Linked DNA regions of Drosophila melanogaster. The protein of the gene in region 1 interacts with the protein of each later gene in a biochemical or structural test. Each region holds a gene or a part of one and is shown in the gene's direction. Other genes may lie near its edges.

Region 1 (5,424 bases):
TTTGCCTTTTATATTCGTTTTAATTTTTTCATTATCATTGAATCCATTCTGGACATTGTCAAGTCTTACATTTGCGCGATTGTTCCTGAATTTAATTAAAAAAGAATGAATGACAAAAATTATATTTGCGGAATACAACAAATAAAAATGAAACCAGCTCCCCAAATGACAATTGAATGAAAACAACAACAATCAACAATCGAAAACAACAACAATGCAGGAACGAACAATAAAACGCGAGTCTTTCTCTTTCACCGCGGAGAATCGGTGAATTTCGAATGGGTTAAGCGGTGAGGGTGATTTCTGGCGACAGGATAATGGTTAATATTGTATTCGAATAATAGTAATCACGGCACAACTTGACTCATCTCTCACCTGCCATTATGCGATCAAATTAAATTTACATTTATTTAATTTTCAACTGCACTCTGATACTGTATTTATACTGATAGATTTTTATCAGATAAATATCTGATAAATAAAATGTTTTTCAGTTTGCACGGCACCATAACAAAGAAAGAAAATCTATTATTAGCTTAAGTAATTATTAAATTAGACAGAAAACATATTTAGAGTTTATTTATCCAACTACGAGTATTAGAAGTTTATCATGAATTATTTTACAACTTCCACTAATTTGAACAATATTCTTAAGACAATTTTGATTGTCACTATTCCGCAAAAATGAAATTAAAAATGCATCAGCTAGCTTATTTATTTATTGAATTTGATAGCAAAACACATAAAGAGTATATGTGCTAATAATTTAAAACGTTTATCCTTATTTGTTTTACTCTTTACACTTATTTTAACTGGATTCTAAAAGAATATTTATTTATATAAAATAAGGAATTCATCATAAATTGTATCACAAATGTAACAATTATTTATGCCGCATGTGGGTGGGGAGCGATTTTAGGAAACAGGATCCTGCATTCATCCTACACTGTGTGCTATTATCACTCACTTAGTGTCCTCGTCTGCTAAGTGAAATGCTGAAAACTCAGAAAGAAAAATGTGACGCGGACAAAACTTTTTCCATTACACAACGTACAACAGTTTTTGCTTTCATTATTATTTGAGATTCGTTGTTGTTGCCGTTCTACGTTGTCCTTTCTTCCTTTTTTGGGGAAAGCAGACACAACGGAAACGTTGCGAACGCTGAAAGCTTTTTATGCTCTTACGCTATGGGCCAGGTATAAGAGCTTTGTAAATGCAATTGGAAATTGCACTAAGCTTTGGTGCATCGTTGTGTGGGTGCGTGCATGAGCAGGAGAAAGGCAAAGAGAAGGGTGGGATAAAAGCTCAAAGGGGAGAATGGTTTTACTTTTGGGGTTATGGAGTTTTAAAAAATATAATAGAATATTGCAACCTTATTCCTGAAAGAAACATTTTTATTAAAACAACGGCTCTTGGGGTCAAGATGTTGTTTAATGAAGCAATGTTAAACTCTTACAATCTTTGCATCACAAAAGCCATAAATTATGTCTTCGTTTCGAAAGAGAGGTAAATATGTGTGTTAACAAGAATTTGAAAACTTATTATTATTATTTGGGAAACTCTTTTAGTTACGAATGAAAAAAACATTAGTTTGCGGTAGATTTAATTGTCAATTATTCGATTGCCCTTGTCCTTTCAATCAACATTAAAAGGTTTGTTTTCTTTTGCTACTGCTTATTTGGTAAACCAAAAAGAAAAGCTGGCTAAAACATCTTTTCTATAATAAAGCACAGAGGACCGTTCTACATGCATCTGGGTGAAGATTTGCCTCACTTCCACTGGCTCCTTTGTGGGCTTCTTTCTATGGCCAAATAAGTAAATAATTGCAGTAATATCCTTTCTGGAGCGGCCAGGAAGAAGTGGCAAAAAGGGAACGGAAAAGAATGGAGAAGAATGGCGAGCGAAATGAAAGAATGCGAGAATGGAGAGCGGGGCAAGAGAATGGAAAGCGTGTTTCCATGTCCTTTTCACAAACTAAAAAGTCCTTTCACACACACACATAGTACTGACTACAGAGTACACATAGAGAACGGTATATAGCAGAACACAGACACCCACAATGGACAAAAATTCACACCAAAGACCCATTGTGATTGGCCCAACAAACACGCACACACATACGCGGGGAGAGAGTTGTGTTCTCTCCCTCTCTCGTTCTAACTGCATAGGAGATGCGGAAGTGCAACGCCGCCGTGCAAACAATAACGGAAATTGTGTGCCCACTGTGCGAAAATCAATGTGCTCCCGCGCTCGCCCTGGCTCTCTTTCTCTCTCTCGCTCCGTACTTTGAGCTCCCCCTGCCCCACAGGATTGGGGTCGCTAAATCGAATAACACGAAGCACAGCCGAACGAGAGCTGCCTGGCTTTTGGCTCTATTGAGCTCCTCTATTGAACACACCCCTCAATGGGCGAACAACTATAACCGATATAAAGGAGCCAATGGAACAAAGCCAGTGGAACAATGGGCCGCAAAACGAAAGAGAGAAGACGCTATGTGTGAGTGAGAGCGCGACGACGGCGCAGCTCTCTCCCAGGTAAGAAGCCCAGCCTCTATCCCGCTCGCACCCACGTGGCTTACGTAAAGGTAATGGTGCGAGGGTTGCTCGCACTTCGTGCTCAACTCTCTTCCGAGAGAAACGGGATTTGGCTGCAGTCGTGTAGGCCGCACTGGAACACTACTGAAATCAGTCACAAAAAAGCAGTCGATCCGAGCAGAAGCAAAGCAAGAGCAAAGCAGAAGCAAAAGCAAGACAGTAATTGACATAGAGACAAAGAAAAAATCTGAGAAATCACAGTTGAACCACAGACATATTGTGTTCTAGAAAGTGAAGTGTTGATCTTGAAAGAAGCAAAAGTTAAACAAAGTGTTCAAAATAGCTGGAATGGCCACCTTATCGACACACCCCAATTACGGTTTCCATTTGGGTCAGGCCCAAGGCTTGGAGGACTACGCACCGCAAAGTCAGCTCCAGCTGAGTCCCGGCATGGACATGGATATCAAGCGTGTGCTGCACTACTCCCAAAGCCTGGCAGCCATGGGCGGATCGCCCAATGGACCCGCCGGCCAGGGTGTGAACGGATCCTCGGGCATGGGTCACCACATGTCCAGTCACATGACCCCGCACCACATGCACCAGGCGGTCTCCGCCCAACAGACCTTGTCGCCCAACAGTTCCATCGGATCCGCCGGCAGTCTGGGTAGCCAGAGCAGCCTGGGCAGCAATGGCAGTGGTCTCAACTCCAGTTCGGGTCACCAGTCCGCCGGCATGCACAGTTTGGCCACATCGCCGGGACAAGAGGGTCACATCAAGCGTCCAATGAACGCGTTCATGGTCTGGTCCCGCCTGCAGCGTCGTCAGATCGCCAAGGATAACCCCAAGATGCACAACTCTGAGATCTCCAAGCGCCTGGGTGCCGAGTGGAAGTTGCTGGCCGAGTCGGAGAAACGACCATTCATCGATGAGGCCAAGCGCTTGAGGGCCCTGCACATGAAGGAGCACCCGGACTACAAGTACCGGCCACGCCGCAAGCCCAAGAACCCACTGACCGCTGGACCCCAGGGTGGACTGCAGATGCAGGCCGGCGGCATGGGTCAACAGAAGTTGGGAGCTGGACCGGGAGCTGGAGCCGGAGGCTACAATCCATTCCATCAACTACCGCCATACTTTGCACCCTCACACCATCTGGATCAGGGTTATCCAGTGCCGTACTTCGGTGGATTTGACCCACTGGCTCTATCGAAATTGCATCAATCCCAGGCAGCGGCGGCGGCGGCGGTCAACAATCAGGGTCAGCAGCAAGGACAAGCCCCGCCCCAATTGCCGCCCACCTCGCTGAGCAGCTTCTACTCGGGCATTTATTCCGGCATCTCGGCACCTTCGCTGTACGCCGCACACTCCGCCAATGCCGCCGGACTCTACCCATCCTCGTCCACCTCCTCGCCGGGATCTTCGCCCGGAACCATCACGCCAAATGGTATGGATGGTTCCATGGACAGTGCCCTGAGGCGACCGGTTCCGGTGCTCTATTAGAGTCGAGTTTTAGGTTAGAGTACAGAGTAGAGTACAATTGTTGACGCATTCCCAAAGTGATCCACTGGTTTTAAATCTTCAAAAGCTCTAAGTAAGCCAATCCTCCAAACCACTCCGCTTAATTCTAGTACAATCTTCGCGCACTTCAGATCTAGAGAGTAAGGAGGGAACACACAAAACATTCCTAGCCAATACACAAACTATAAATTATAATTTATTTAGCGCACTCACTATACCGCAAAGAAAATTAAAAAAGATAAACCTAATTGTAAATTAATTTTATTTAGTTTTAAGCATCGAGCGAGCGCCTCCTTCTTGTTGTTTTTTTTCGCATCAGCACCTACCTAAAATGTAGCTTATAGTTTTAATTGTCTAACCCTCTCAAATTGTAAATATCCCTGCAACTATTCGTTAAAGTCTCAGTGTAGCCCCAAATGCGAGGAAAGAACGTACATCAATGTATTATTGTATTATTAATTGTATTGTAAAAGTTATCATCTAAGCGAATAATGGTTCATGAAGGCCAACACAAAACAAAGACATTTAAAAGTGAATAAAAACAAAATGATTTGAGAAAACCAAATTTGAAAACCTGTTTATTCTATTTCAAATAATTTACAGCTTGGAAGATGTGAAACTGGCAATTGGTTTTGAAATGAATGATGATGATTCTCTACCAAATGTAATCACATTAAAGACATAGGTAGAGTTGTTGTGACTGGAATCAGACGAAGTTATCATATATATATATATACCGGGAAAAAGCTGAAAAACAAAAAAGATAATTTTAAGCCTTTAATAGAATGCATTTCCCATTTTCTTAGCCAGCATACCACATTTTACAGTTATGTTATAAATTTACTTTAAACATATGCCCAAGCTATATGTGACTTAAATTTTTCAGCTGATTATATTTTATACTCCATAATTGGATTATCATATTTAAATTCGAATTTGTGTCTGTATTTTTCATAACCTTTAAGATTATACAGGGTCGTGCTCTGAGCATGCATCAAAATTATCAACGAAATTAATAACGAATTTGAATATTCATAAGACCATTAACATAATATTCTCAACTGGATTGAGTGAGTCATTCGGATAAAGCTTAAAAACAATCATTTCATCATCACCTAATAATGGGTATGAATTTTTCTGTTTTGTGAGTAGTATTCGTTTAATATCAAAGTCCTATCCCGTTTCTGATCAAATTAACCTTGTCTCTGGGTGTCTTTACTATTATTTCGCTCATTTCTGTGTGAGTTTTTGTTGGTTAGTTTACACCCGCTGGGAAGAGATGAAAAAACTAAATTTGATTTGCCATTATACAACTATTTGCCGTTGTGTATTAATTTCTATTGATTAATGCGCTGTTTATTTTGCGCCTCCAAGA
Region 2 (4,652 bases), on another chromosome or scaffold:
TGGGTTTTTGAATGGATTTTGATGATGTGCAAAGAGCAGCGCATTAGTCGATGTTGTTGGTGAGGCGCGTTGCATTGTAGTGGTTCAAGTGGTGGAGCATAAGAAAGATAAAGCAAGATATCTTAGTTGGAAATTTTTTTTGGGATGAAGATATCACAATTTGTATGGACTTCTACGTTAAGTTAGACAGACACAAGGATTCGCGATGAGAATATCCACCCAAGGGCTCCGTTTCGCTTACCTTTGGATTGTTGGCCACGATGGGTGGCGGATGGGAGCCATCGCCGGAGTCCGGGCTCAGCTCGACGGCCTTGCTAGCAAGCAACTTGTTGCGCCAGACCTGCTTCATCTCCTGCAGCACCTGTTCGTCGACGCCCTCGTCCAGGAACGCGTCCCGCACATTTGTGATGACGTCCTCGATCACGGCATGGTACACCTTCAGCTGCGGGCGAGAGGGGATGCGGTTAATTGTGTATAATTAAATTTGAAATGCACGACAAATCTGGGCTTGTGTTGACTTAAACACTCATTATATTATCGCGGCTCAACTTCACGCTATTAGGGCCTAAACAGTTGGGGGTAAAACAATAGGGATTGCGCAAAAAATCCACGAAGCAAGTAAAGGGCAAGACGCTATAGAAGTTGAAAATGTGGCGCACAGTATGTGGTGAGCCTTTTTGAGCTCCCATTAAAATTCAGACGCAGCTGTAATGTGAATATGCAAAACGCAAATAAAGTATGTAAATTATTTGTTTGCGAAGAATGTCGCAGTGCACATATGTACATAGATACCATGCATATGCTGGTATATATATATATGTACATTGTACATATATATACACCGGTATGCCAGTTGCTTGTTTTATTAATAGTTTGTTTTGCGTTATCAGCGGACGATAAGGAAGGAGGCCCCGACTTGTAGATAATAGCACAAGCTACGCAGCGTGTATTACTGCTAAATATAACCCCCCATGGGAGTTTGAAGTACTACGCGGAAAAGCCGAAAATCGGAAAATCCAGAGGGCAAGAAACATACAAAACTGCAAGGCAACGAACGCACTAACACAGCGACATCCAGACAGACACGCACTCGCATGCACACACATCCACACCCGAGAGGTTTGCAGTTTTGGTATCTCGGATTTCAGCAGTTGTAACTATCGTTTTGTAGTAACTACCATGACCACTGGGAAAGCTTTCACTTTCCCGCGTGGGCGGCGGAAGGAGGTGAAGCTGGAGGAAATGGAGAAACTCCTTGGTAGGATGCCTTCCATATGTCGAATGCAATGGAGCCACCGCCGCTGACACAATTACCGGATCTCGGGGATCCAGCCGCACACTCACCACCGATGTCTGGCATAGCGCCATTTGGACCTTTTTCTCCGCCAGCTTGAGGCTTTTCCGTTCGCTGGTGGGGCTAATTGACGTATTTGCTGAATTATAAATGGGCGAAGCGAAGAATTAGCGATAGCGATGCGTTCGTGACGGTGTCAGCAGTGTGGCCACCTGCGGGGCACTTGAAAACGACGCATGTCCGCCAAACTGCAAGGCTCATTTGGTCATACACTAATTGCCTTTGGTATTTTTTAAGATATTTTAGTATACAAAATACTGTGCAAATTACATAAAATATGTGGAGGTTATTTAAAATCTATTTAATATTTTCATACAGCAAATACCTTTTTAATAATTACTCTGCTTTCTTTTTACTTCTGAATTTTAAACAGTGGCTCCTAAGCATCTACCACTTTTTCGAGTGTATTATTTGCTAGACATTGGCAGCGTTGCCAGACTGCTTCGCTCTGTTAAGCTGCTTTATCACTTGTTGCGCCGCTGTTAACAAGTCATCCACAGGTTTTCATCGAATCGCGTTGGGAATTTACCCAAAAGCGATTTTCGTTTCGCTGCAACAGGTTACCAGCGCCGCCAACCCCTCATCCAACGGGCACTCTTGCATCCGGAGCCGCATGAATCAGTCGCAACCGGTTGAACCGCCCGCCCATAAGTGAAAGATGAGTGGCGTCCAGACCGCCGAAGCCGAGGCGCAGGCCCAAAACCAAGCGAATGGCAACAGGACCAGGTCGCGTTCCCACTTGGACAACACAATGGCCATCCGACTGCTGCCGTTGCCCGTGCGAGCCCAGCTATGTGCCCACTTGGATGCCCTAGACGTATGGCAACAGCTGGCCACGGCCGTAAAACTCTATCCCGACCAGGTGGAGCAGATAAGCAGCCAGAAGCAGCGTGGCCGCTCAGCCTCCAATGAGTTCCTCAACATTTGGGGCGGTCAGTACAATCACACGGTGCAAACATTGTTTGCTTTGTTCAAAAAGTGAGTCAGTTTGAGATAATAACCGCCGAGATCCCAGAAATGACTCCTCTTACTTTAGATTGAAGCTTCATAACGCCATGCGTCTGATCAAAGATTACGTTAGCGAGGATCTGCACAAGTACATACCGAGGAGCGTGCCCACCATCAGCGAGCTGCGCGCTGCTCCCGATTCCAGTGCCAAAGTAAACAACGGCCCGCCGTTTCCCTCCTCCTCGGGCGTCAGCAACTCAAACAACAATCGCACCAGCACAACGGCAACGGAGGAGATACCCAGCCTGGAGTCCCTGGGCAATATACACATTAGCACCGTACAGCGGGCAGCCGAATCCTTGCTGGAGATCGATTATGCGGAGCTAGAAAACGCCACGGACGGCTGGAGTCCGGATAATCGACTGGGACAGGGCGGATTCGGAGACGTGTACCGCGGCAAATGGAAGCAACTGGACGTGGCCATCAAGGTGATGAACTACCGCAGTCCCAACATCGACCAGAAAATGGTGGAGCTGCAGCAGAGCTACAACGAACTCAAGTATTTAAACAGCATCCGGCACGACAATATCCTGGCCCTCTACGGATACAGCATCAAAGGTGGTAAGCCGTGCCTCGTCTACCAGCTGATGAAGGGCGGCTCCCTGGAGGCTCGTTTACGAGCGCATAAGGCACAAAACCCACTACCAGCACTCACCTGGCAGCAGCGGTTTAGCATCAGCCTCGGCACGGCTAGGTGGGATTTATCGTTTCTTTAGTGCTATCAATCTTCTTTAACTTTTCATTTCGTTTCCAAAAGAGGCATCTACTTTCTGCACACGGCGCGAGGCACACCGCTGATTCATGGAGATATTAAGCCGGCCAACATCCTGCTGGACCAATGTCTGCAGCCAAAAATCGGAGACTTCGGTCTGGTGCGCGAGGGTCCCAAGTCCTTGGACGCTGTGGTGGAAGTGAATAAAGTTTTCGGCACTAAGATCTACCTGCCACCGGAGTTCCGCAACTTCAGACAACTCAGCACGGGCGTGGACGTCTACAGCTTCGGCATTGTGCTGTTGGAGGTGTTCACGGGTCGTCAGGTGACGGATCGCGTGCCGGAAAACGAGACGAAGAAGAATTTGCTGGACTACGTTAAGCAGCAGTGGCGGCAAAACCGGATGGAGCTGCTAGAGAAGCACTTAGCAGCACCGATGGGCAAGGAGCTGGACATGTGCATGTGCGCCATCGAGGCGGGCTTGCACTGTACTGCCCTGGATCCGCAGGATCGCCCATCCATGAACGCGGTGCTCAAGCGTTTCGAACCGTTTGTTACCGACTAGATGGGCCTTATTATGTTACCATTTTATTGACGAACTTGAAAAGCTCGAAGGACCATTTGTAAACCATTTCCACATTTTGTGATCAATCGCAATATATATTTTTAACTTTAACATTCCAACGAAAATTTCCCTAAAGACTTATTGTTATGCTTAAATTGTAAATGCTTACCCTATTGTTTATTAAATATTTTTGTACACTTAGTTGTTAGTGGTATGTTTGATGTTCGGAGAAACTAAATTTATGATATGCCCCAAATCGATGATTTAAAACTCAAACGACTCAAGCGACGTGGCCAGTGGAGCTACGTTTTGATTTTAGCGTCATTTCGGTTATAATTATTTTCATTTTCACAACACAATCATCGCAAAATAATATTGTTTTTATTCGTGACGCAGAATTCCGGCTCTAACCATTGACACGAATCAATTTTATAGATATAGCTTTTAGCACGTGAAAAATTTTCAATTTTTAATCAAGGACGACCAGCGGACGAGACAATGAATTTAAAAAATTCCAAGTTTTTCAAGAGGATTCAGGAGCTGCGCCACTTCTCCAAGGAGAAAATACGGAAGGATCGCGAAAAGAGGACCCACGTTGTTCGCGCCCTGGACATGGCTCTTAATGAGCAGCCGTGCTTGGACCGGGAATGGTTCAGTCCGGAGCAATCACCGCCACTGCAGCCCATGTCCCCACGCCGCCGGATGAAGAAGACCCGGTGCCTCAAGAGGAGGACAGCCGCCGACAAGCAAGTGGATGATAACTCCCCATATTACGGACCATCTTCTGGTGAAAACAGCCCAATGCCTGCTGAGGAAGCCAAGCTGCAGGGATTCATTCAACTGAACAACAAGACCTACCGAGTGGAATGCCCCACTCGGGTGCTCAATCCTCCCATGAACGTCGACGAGGAGCGGCCAGCCAGGTGATCTTCCTTAGCTTTGGATCCTTATTGGATAACGCATCTAACATAATCCCCCAGCGAAACCAAGAGTACCATCTGCGTGTCCAACTC

What was found.
Region 2: of the proteins of D (region 1) and pll, one has a biochemical effect on the other in vitro, tested with the Drosophila melanogaster proteins (one study listed by BioGRID).

The regions. Positions count from the first base shown.
Region 1 is NT_037436.4:14,174,797-14,180,220, reverse strand, and holds D (dichaete), read left to right. Parts: upstream 1-1,600; 5' UTR 1,601-1,652; intron 1,653-1,728; 5' UTR 1,729-2,882; coding exon 2,883-4,031; 3' UTR 4,032-4,611; downstream 4,612-5,424. UniProt on the Drosophila melanogaster protein: Essential for segmentation and CNS development. May modulate the actions of other transcription factors, including gap and pair-rule proteins.
Region 2 is NT_033777.3:27,250,318-27,254,969, reverse strand, and holds pll (pelle), read left to right. Parts: upstream 1-1,787; 5' UTR 1,788-2,012; coding exon 2,013-2,332; intron 2,333-2,390; coding exon 2,391-3,056; intron 3,057-3,119; coding exon 3,120-3,639; 3' UTR 3,640-3,839; downstream 3,840-4,652. Other genes in the region: TfIIA-L (transcription factor IIA L), read right to left, coding at 242-442, 1,345-1,368; TTLL6B (tubulin tyrosine ligase-like 6B), read left to right, coding at 4,138-4,562, 4,620-4,652. UniProt on the Drosophila melanogaster protein: Plays an essential role in the Tl receptor signaling pathway that establishes embryonic dorsoventral polarity; the signal directs import of dl into ventral and ventrolateral nuclei, thereby establishing dorsoventral polarity.